2 linked regions of the Cricetulus griseus genome follow. The protein of the gene in region 2 interacts with the protein of the main gene of each other region in a pairwise test. Links are inferred from orthologs where the notes say so. Each region holds a gene or a part of one and is shown on either strand. Other genes may lie near its edges.

The links.
Region 1: the proteins of Clk3 (region 2) and Oas2 interact in binary tests that used the Homo sapiens proteins (3 or more experiments, as listed by UniProt). The two-hybrid records come from large-scale screens. The link is inferred for Cricetulus griseus from reciprocal best matches to the Homo sapiens genes CLK3 and OAS2.

Annotation. Positions count from the first base shown.
Region 1 is NC_048597.1:100,562,005-100,567,151, forward strand, and holds the start of Oas2 (2'-5'-oligoadenylate synthase 2), read right to left. Parts: upstream 3,303-5,147; 5' UTR 3,229-3,302; coding exon 2,998-3,228; intron 2,183-2,997; coding exon 1,930-2,182; intron 1-1,929.
Region 2 is NC_048597.1:169,395,764-169,400,229, reverse strand, and holds part of Clk3 (dual specificity protein kinase CLK3), read left to right. Parts: intron 1-1,720; coding exon 1,721-1,872; intron 1,873-2,501; coding exon 2,502-2,718; intron 2,719-4,466. UniProt on the Homo sapiens protein: Dual specificity kinase acting on both serine/threonine and tyrosine-containing substrates. Phosphorylates serine- and arginine-rich (SR) proteins of the spliceosomal complex.

The sequences.
Region 1 (5,147 bases), about 69 Mb from region 2:
GCTTCCTTGTAACAACAACAACAACAAAAAAAGGTCTTTGATTTGGACGATTCAGCTCTATCGCCACCTGTTGTTAGTACCTGGGTACTACATGTGAATAGTTCCTTTATCTGCCTTCAGCAGTGGGTGGATTGGTCTCCTATTGCCAGGCTGGAAGCTAGTTGCTCTGATCTTAGAGTTGGTGACAAAGGGACCCATGGGGTCATGTATCAGTTACTTTTCTGGCAGCTGGGAGGGGACATCTGACAGAAGCAACGGAAGGGGGAAGGCTTGCTTGCTTGCTTGCTTTTAGTATAAAATGTTCTGTCTGCAGGCCAGAAGAGGGCACCAGTTCCCATTACAGATTGTTGTGAGTCACCATGTGGTTGCTGGGAACTCAGGATCTCTGGAAGAGCAGCCAGTGCTCTTAACCTCTGAGCCATCATTCCAGCCCCAAGGGAAGGCTTTCTTTTGGCTCACTGAGGGCACAGCCATCGTGCCCGGGGAACATGATGCTGAATTCTCCCTCCTCGGACCAGGAAATGGATTGGAAGTGGAACTGGGGTCAGGATTGGAGACAGGGTTGGGGTTACCACCCTCCAGGCTCACTTCCCAGTCACCCACTTCCTCTAGTGAGGCTCCCTCTCCTACAGGCTCCACACCCTCCCAAATCAGCTGGGACCAAGTGCTCAAACATATTTTACCTTCAACCCTAACAGATGAGAAGGATTCATGCAACGGTGGCACATTTTCTAACCCAGACCACCTTCCCGAGAATGCTGTCATGTGGGCGTGTGTACATCTCCATCTTGTCAGAAAATGGTCAGGTGGTGGGTATTTAAGGTCCCAGTAATCCATAAGTTCCTCAGAATTGTGGACAATGGAGGCACCTTAGCCTCCAACTCAGAAGTCCTGGGCTGTCAGACTTATTGAGTCCACCATTGGCAGCATGGCCACCACACATTCCTGTCCTTTTGTTTTCCCATCCATGTATCTGTCCATTCCTACATCCATCCATTTTTACATCTGTCTATACAACCTGACTTCCATCCATCCACCTAGGCATATATACATGTATCAGTTCATTGTCTGTCTGTCCACACATTCACACGCCCATCCATCCAGAAATGCATCAATCCGTTTCCCCATCTGTCCACCATCCTTACATCCATGCAAGCATGCATCCATCCATTTCCCCTCCTCCACATACACCCACACATCCATCCATACATCCTCACACACATACACAGATCTCCCACATCCATCCCTCTGCCCATACCTACATCAAGTGAGCACCCAGCTATCCACTTCCATCTATCTGTTCACTTTCTTCCCTGCCATTTATCCATCCACCCTTCATCCATCCATCCACCTGCTCACCTATACAAGCTCCACTTTAGAGCCAAGAGTCTAGAACATTTTATCCAAAGTAAATGAGATGAGAATGAAGTTCTAGATAGAGTATGCCCAGGGTGGAGGGCTCTTCTCTGTTGGGGGTTTTGGTGGTGACCCCAGAGGCTCATATGTTTTTGCATGCTTAGTCCCCAGTTGAATTGTTTGGGAAGGATTAGGAGGTGTGTCCTTGTCAGAGGACATCCTTGTTGCTGGGGATGGGATTTGAGGTTTCAAAAGCTCACACATGGCCCAGTGACTCTCTTCCTCTTGCCTATGGATCAGGATATAAAGCTCTTAGCTATTGCTCTGTGCTGTGCCTGTCTATTTCCTACCATGATGATAAAGGACTAACCCTCCGTGCCTGTAAACAAGCACCAATTAAATGCTTTCTTTTATAAGAGCTGCCTTGGTCATGATGTCTCTTCACAGCAACGAACAGTGACTAAGATGGGGTTTACGAGCCCCACTTTGGAAATCGTCTGTCATAGCCTCTGCCTGTGGTTCCCCAGTACTCCGGGAAAGTTTGGGGGCCCCCCTCCATCCCAGAGCACTCACACAGAGGATCAAAGGCTGGAAGTAGCTGCAAGAGTATACTCTGTCCTTGTACGGACAGTTGGATTTCAAGGATGTTCCCAAGCTTTTTTGGCTTATTATATTTCTCATGGTGTTTTAGCAGTTGTTCAATCCAGTGGATGCGTAGATGTTGATATGCTTTCTGATCCCCAAATGAATGGAAGCAATTGACGAAGAGAACAAGGGTACCATCAGAGTAGCCTCTTAGAACTGTTCCTCGGCCATAGGAGCCACCCTGCAAGGAATGAAGCATCAGGTGTGAGGTTTGGGATTTCTGTAGCTCTAGGCAGGGATATTTCTTATGTCCAGTGAAATCCCCAAATGTCACCACCATTTTAAAATCAGGTTGCCAGCACTAATTTGCATGGGGGTCAGTGTCTTGTATGCTAGCTCCAAACTGGAGGCAACTCAAAACTGCAATATGATAAACACTTCATACAGTGGAGTACCATACAAGAATGAAAAACAGGTGAGTTCTACAAGAGCGAGTTCCAGGACAGCCTCCAAAGCCACAGAGAAACCCTGTCTGGAAAAAAAAAACAAAAACAAAAAAACAAAAAAACAAAAAACAAAAAACCAACCCACCACCACCACCACCACCACCAACAACAACAACAAAAAATGGTTGTAGGAACAAAACTCTCACAAATGTGGAGTCAAAGATGACACACAATGAAGTGCACATGTGCATGGAACCAGTCCCCACCAATTTACTGAGGATCGATGCTAAGAACACTGTGTGCCTCACTGTTACAACACTCTGAAGAGGGGTCTAGGCTGACCCTCACTCTGCAGACCCGGACTCTGTGGTACAGAGAGATGAAGCAGCCTGCCAGAGTCATGTAGCCAGGCAGAAGATGACCTGGCTGTAGCTTGGGCCCCTGCACTGTCTGCCTTTGTGTCCTCAGAAGGAGAAAAGCCTTGTGAAGTGCCTGGTGTGGAGCAGTGCTCAGCACCACCCCCATGGCAGGGGCAGGGTTGGAGTGGGGGTATTGGGGGAGAGCAAACTCTCCTGGGATCCAAAGCCCTGGCCCCAAATCTGGGCCTCACCTTAGCCACTCTCACCACAGTGATCTCAGAGCTCAGCAGGAAGTTAGAGATGTCATCCACATCCTGGTCTATCAGCTTCAGACATTCTTCATTGGGTGTGAGGTTTGCCTGGATAAACTCTTCTAGCTTGTGCGCTGGCACTGAGGTTAAGTAAGACAACCCACCAGATAACTCTTCAGAGGATCCCCCAGATAACTCTTCAGACGATCCCCCAGCCAACCAGTTTCCCATAGTTGCTAGCTGGCTGTAGGTCCTGGGGATTCTGCCCTGATCTGGATAGAGGAAGTTGAGACCAAAATTGCCTGGCCTAGGAAATCGAAACCCAAGTGTCAGGAGTCACTGCCCAGCAGCTGCTGGGGGTGGGGGGAGCTTCTTGCTGGCCAGCCACTCCCAGGGACACCCCAGGTTAACCCTGAAACCTCCAGAGCCTCGGGGGACACCTCCCCAGAGGACAGATATGTGTATCCTTCAGTGAAGGTGGGGTTTAAATGAGTTTACCAGATCCAAGATAAAGATAAATAGGTGTTTTATTGGGGAACAACTTACACAGGTAAGAGTAAATTACTGCTGTACCTGCACCTTCCTGCTCCCGGAGATGCAGTCTCTGTGCTTCTGATGCTCTCCACTACCCAAGAGAGTGCCCACCGATCCACACCTGAAACCATGCCCAAAGGGTGTGGCCACTGGCAAGGCGAGATGCCACTACACTTCAGTGCAGGACTGACTTCTTGGTGTCTCTGTCTCCTCCATCTGTAAATCAGAGGAGCCTGTCTAGCTCACTAACCACTAAGTTAATTTGGTTTTATAGAAAGTGGAGGCTGTTCATGGAAACTGGCTCTTTTCTCCTGTTTCCAGAGACTGAGGCACTCAGTGCTAGGCTGAGTGTAGAGAAAGTCCAGAGAGGGACTCACATGCTCAAAGACACACAGCAAGGCAGGTGTCCTAGTAGATGTAGGCTTACTTTTCTGCCTTTGTGTGAACATAGTGCTCTGAGGAGTAGCTTCCGAACACACACACACACACACACACACACACACACACAGAGTAAATATTTAAAAATCAAATTAAAAACAAGGGAATTTTGTCAATACAAATTTAATACAATTACTTTGTGTGAGTTTTGAGACAGAGCCTTTCTATGTAGCCCAAACTGGCCTTGAACAGGTAATCCCCCTGCCTCAGCCTCTCATAGACTATTTGTAGCATCTTCCTTCAAGGTAGGATGGGATATTGTGTTTAGCTGTCCTATGTTGCAGATGTTTCCTGGAAAGCTCACTGGGAAAGGCACAGTGACTTTGTATTTGCCAGTCCCTTTGGCATCCACATGAGTGCCTGTGTCATCATAACAAAGCATTGGCTCCCATACAGGAACCCTGAAAGCAGAAGGACTCTTAAGTTCCTCTAAGTGAGCCAGAAAATGACTGCAGGGGACACTAGCAGCTCCCAGGGACCCTGCCTTGGCTTCCTGAGTGCTAGGGTTGCATATATATATATGCAACCCTAGCACTCAGGATATATATATATATATATATATATATATATATATATATATATATATATCCTCAACCAGCCCAAGCTATGCCCATGGGGACCTTCTCCCCAGGGCCATGGCCTGAATCAAGCTCAATGGATCCATATTGCCACTACCATGCTGGCTGCTGTCGTAGATGGAAGGGTTTAGGTCAGCAAGGCCTCTCTGCTGCCTAGATGGTCATGACCTCACTCCTCACTCGTCCAGCTCACAGTCACCCCAGTACTGGAGCCATCTGATAGGAGGGCCCAGAGTCTGTGTGGTGGGGACAGGGGCTGGGACTCTAGGTCAGTACTTCATCCGTTGCTGGGTTCCATGGAAAAATAGATCTCTGCTGGTCACATTTGTCTAGAGCAGTGTTTCTCAAGCTGTTTCTCCACCCCACTGGGGTCAAACAACCCTTTCACAGGGGTCTCCTAAGATGATCGCACAATACATATTTCCAAAGGTCTTAGGAATTGAGACACTGCTCTTTTGTCCATCTCCAGGTGGGCCCGCCCATGCCGATATGCCCACATATGAGTACCCAGAACTGTATTAAAGGGTCGAAGCATTCTGAAGGTTAAGGACCACCAGTCTAGAGCTCTGAGAATGATGGTGACCAGTAGCCATCAAGAGA
Region 2 (4,466 bases):
AAGGCAAACATTGACGTGGTAGTGCCGTGGACTAGGTTGTCATTGGACTCTGAAGCTGTGACTTTCCTCTCAAGTAGACACGTGGTCATGAAAGATTTCTAGGTCTCAGAAGGAAAACTTTGGCCACGTGTATGTTAGACCATATCACCACATCCTCCAGATAGGGTGCTTTTTCTGCCTGGTGAGGATGGGCAGGACCACACTTGTCTTGAGGGAAGATATGTGCTCTGGTCAGTAGGATGTCTTTTGGGTCAGTTAGTGAGACATGAGATACTGCTTTCAGGCCATAGCTTGAGCACCTGCTGTAAGATAATTGGGAAAAAACAAAAACAAAATGATTATTTAGATGATTGTGAAAACAACAAATCTACAGATCTTATGTAGTGTTTATCTCTGAGGATTTCTGGGTGGCCCAGACTTTTCAGATGGAGGGTTGCTAGTGGGGAGATAGAAGGCAGTGCCTTTCTTAGGGTCCCCAGAGACTCCCAGTGGTTTAGATGAATTGGCCTCCCTGTCCTGCTCATACACAAGTAGCTGTTTCATTTTTGAATTGTGTTGGTGAGGTGAAGCAGCCTTGATGGATTTGTTTAAAAGGTGCTTGGCCAGGCAAGCCTGGGACTGTGCAAGACTAGAGGTTGGGTGTGAGCAATTGCTGGCTTGGAAAGCAAACAAGCAAAGGTCTCTTGCCTGGCCATCTGGTGAGGAGAATGTGAAGGGGCAGGATATGGGTGAAAATGGTACCATCCTCATGTAGCCATCTTCCTCAGCTGGTTGCTGATCCAGCTTGGGAGTCTCCTGTACTGGATATAAGTCCTCAGTGGCTAGGGGTAGTGAATCGAAAGCCTGCTTCTGCTTCCACGTGTAGACCTACAGCCACGTCTTCTAGGCACCTCCAGAGATAGTCTCACGAAGCAGTGATGGTCAGGGGAGCTAGACCCGATGGCAATGATGCTGTTGCTGAAAGTTGAAACACCTGGTATGGGACTCTAGTTGGTCTGAGGGCCTCTAAAATGTGCCTCAGGCAAGCAGCTTAGATTCTCTGAGGATTGTGGCACCTTCCTGGGCTGAGACTGGATGGGCCAGCAAGGGCTGGGCAGGCCCTCTGGGCCTATGCCCACTTGGCTACACCTTGGTAGAAGGTAGGGAATGTTGATGAGACATTGTGTCTTTGCTCAAGGTTTAGTGTTCTCCTTTCTACTGTGTCTTCTCACAACTTCGAGTTGAGTCCAGTTCAATGCTTTAGCAAGGCAGCTTGCAGTTTCTGAAACCACTAAGTACATTGGTTCCATGCCACCAGTTCATTAGTTTCAGGCTCCTAGAACATTTAGGTTATAGGATTCCATAGGCAGGAAGACATTGAGCAAAGCTCTTCTTTCCCCCTGTCCTAGCATCTCTGTGACAGTGCTCAGAATCCCCTAAGAGATCTACTTCTGTATCTGGGCCCTGACTTATCCAGTTCAAGTGTTCAGGCCCCTAGGCCATGCTGGGGAGGCACCTGTTTGTTTATTCACTGGCAAAAGGATGGAGTCACCCATTGTCTGCTGTTCTGTTACTGTGACCTCAGAGTTCTTCTTTACTTCATAAACCCGGGGGTAGGGGGGTTGCCCCTAAATAGAACAATGGGCCTCTTCTTCAGGAGCACCTGGCTGCACCAGGCAGCCCTGTGGCTGGAAGCAGTGAGCTGTGTGTTGAGCAGGGCTTTCTCTTTCTTGTGGCCTAGATGCATCACTGTAAGCGATACCGTTCCCCAGAGCCAGACCCATACCTGAGCTACCGCTGGAAGAGGAGGCGGTCTTACAGTCGGGAGCATGAAGGTCGACTACGATACCCATCCCGAAGGGAGCCTCCCCCAAGGAGATCACGGTCCAGAAGGTGAGTGGGAGCTGGTTTGGAAGGAAGGAAACACTTGTTTCCTCAGCGAGATGAGCAGATGGCCCAGAGGCTCTGGTGGCTTTAGGTTCTTTTAGATGACTGCTTCTGCCCAGCTGCCTGTGGATCCTTGCCTATTTCCTGGCCTCAGCAGAAGCTACCCTCCTTGTCACCCTTTCTTTGTCACAAAGTGGTCCTTCTTCTCCCTCTGTATTTTCTACACCAGTACCCCACCTATGAGCCTTCCTCAGTGGGAAGTAGGAACATTGTCCTAGCCTTAGAAAGACTGGTCCCAAGTCCTGTCTGAGTCCCCAGACCAAAGTAACAGTTGTACCAGGCTAGTCAACTCTGTCACTGTTGGAGGCCTTTCTCTATGCTTGCTCACTTTTTTTTTTTTGCTTCCTCACTCCTTGTGGCATGGAGGAGCACTGTCATTACCCAAGGCTCTGGAGAATAAGCTTGGTACCTTTGCACCTTCTCTTTTGTTTACTTCCCTCAGCTTGGATGCTTCAGCTCTGACAGGCTTTCCCTTAAGAGCCTTTGCAGGGGCCCTGCCAAAGGCCTCTTGCCTGCTGGCAGGAACCTGGCTGGTAGGACCCTTCTTGACTCGTGTCCTCACTTCCTCTTGGCAGCCATGACCGCCTACCCTACCCTCGGAGATACCGGGAACACCGTGACAGCGATACGTATAGGTGTGAAGAGCGGAGCCCATCCTTTGGAGAGGACTGCTATGGGTCTTCACGTTCTCGACATCGGAGACGGTCACGAGAGAGAGGGCCATACCGTACCCGCAAGCATGCCCACCACTGTCACAAACGCCGTACCAGGTCTTGTAGCAGCGCCTCCTCGGTGAGTGGTGGCCAGAGTGTGCTAACAGAGGCCTAAAAGCCTCATCTCTTTCTAGCCTTCTCTCAGGCTGCCTGGTCTGGGTGAGTACTGGCAGCCCTGTGCACACACACCATTGTGTGTGCACACATTTGTGTGCGTGTGCGTGTTTGGTACAGGGCTAAGCAAGGATGTTATGCCCTCCATCTTCTGGCCCCTTGCCAGTGGCAACTGTAGGGGCTCTGGCTCCGGCGCTGGCTGGTTTCCAGCCTGTCTGTGTCTACCCATTGTTCCAGGCATAGGCTACATGGCACACATGCCTGGGACACACTTCTCAGGGATCGTACTAAGATTGCTGGTTTGTGGCTTGGGGTTTATATGCCTTGTTCCCTTCATCTCCCTGCACATTGCTAAGTGCTTTGAGTGTGGACTTGACCACCTCTGTCGCCTCACTTTCAAACCCTGCTTTCCCAGAGGACCAGAGTCTGCATTACCCAATAAAAAGGGACACTTTACGAGTGATATTTTTTTCCTCTTTTAAATGCTGGGAATCCGACCCAGAGCCCATACATACTAGGCAACTGCTCTACCACTGAGCTATGTCACATCCCAGTCCCCATGCTTCCTCTTTGTTTTTGAAAATCTTGTTATGTATTCCAGGTTGGCCTAAAACTCCTGATCCTTTTGCCTCTACTTCCTGAGTGCTAGGCGCCACTGCCTGACTTCCTAGCCCTTTCTCTTTTTTGATACGAATCTTGAATTTCTGTGTTGAACCTTCTAAGTTGATGGTCTACAAGAGCACATCACTTTGCCCTGTCAGTCAGCCCAGATGGGGAGCTTCCAGTCTGACTTCCAGCCAGGCTCTCTTCTGCCTTGTTCCTTGATAGGTGGGATACTTGTGGTGAGGAGAGGCAGCTATCTGTGTGATGGGCCCCCAGGCCTCACCTTGTTGCAGACCACTTAAAAACAGAGGTTGGCCAGCATTCTAGGGTGGTGGGGTGAACAGACCAAGAGCCAACCCTGTACTCAATCCCATGGAAAAGGAAAGTCACTTGTATGTTTCTGAGGTTATGTGCTGTCTTCTCTGCTCCCCATCTGTTCTCCCCATGTTGTCCTCCTGCTGGCCAAGAGGCCTATGAATAGTAGTAGTGGGTTCATTGGAGGTATCTTTTCCGCTCAGTGCTCTGTGACTTGCGTGGCATGGGTTGAAGGTTGACTCTTGCAGGTGAGTCCAGCATGGCCTGTGGCCTCAGACAGTGCCACATGCTGCCACAGGATGGCAGTGTAAGTCTGTTGCTCTGCTTATTTTTGGTGCCCTCTGTCGTTGTGGGACGGGTTTGGTTTGTGAGTGGCACAGGTCCTAAGGCCAGGTCAGGAGCTGGCTTGGGGCCTGAAGGTCGGCTGTCCTGGAGGATCTCAGCCAGGCTCATTTCCTGCTGGAGACTGGTGGCAGGAGGGCTGCTGGCAGAAGGCTGTTTATGGTAGTTGGTTAAGTCTGGCCAAAGATGTCATGTGGGGGCAGGTAGTAGTTTGGTTTTATGTGGCAGCTGTTGAGCATGTTGTAAGGTTGTGTGGGCGAGTAGAGGCAGGCAGGGACAGGCTGAGCATACTGCTGCAGATACTGCTGCAGCTAAAGCCAGGATAGCCTTCTGACCAGTCCAGAAGGTTGGACCAGTTTGGGCCAGCCGCCTTTTTGCGCCGTTTGCTCTCACTGTGTTTTCAGCTCTGGCCAAAGTCATGGGAGGGTCAGGGCGGGGGAGACTCAGAAGAGG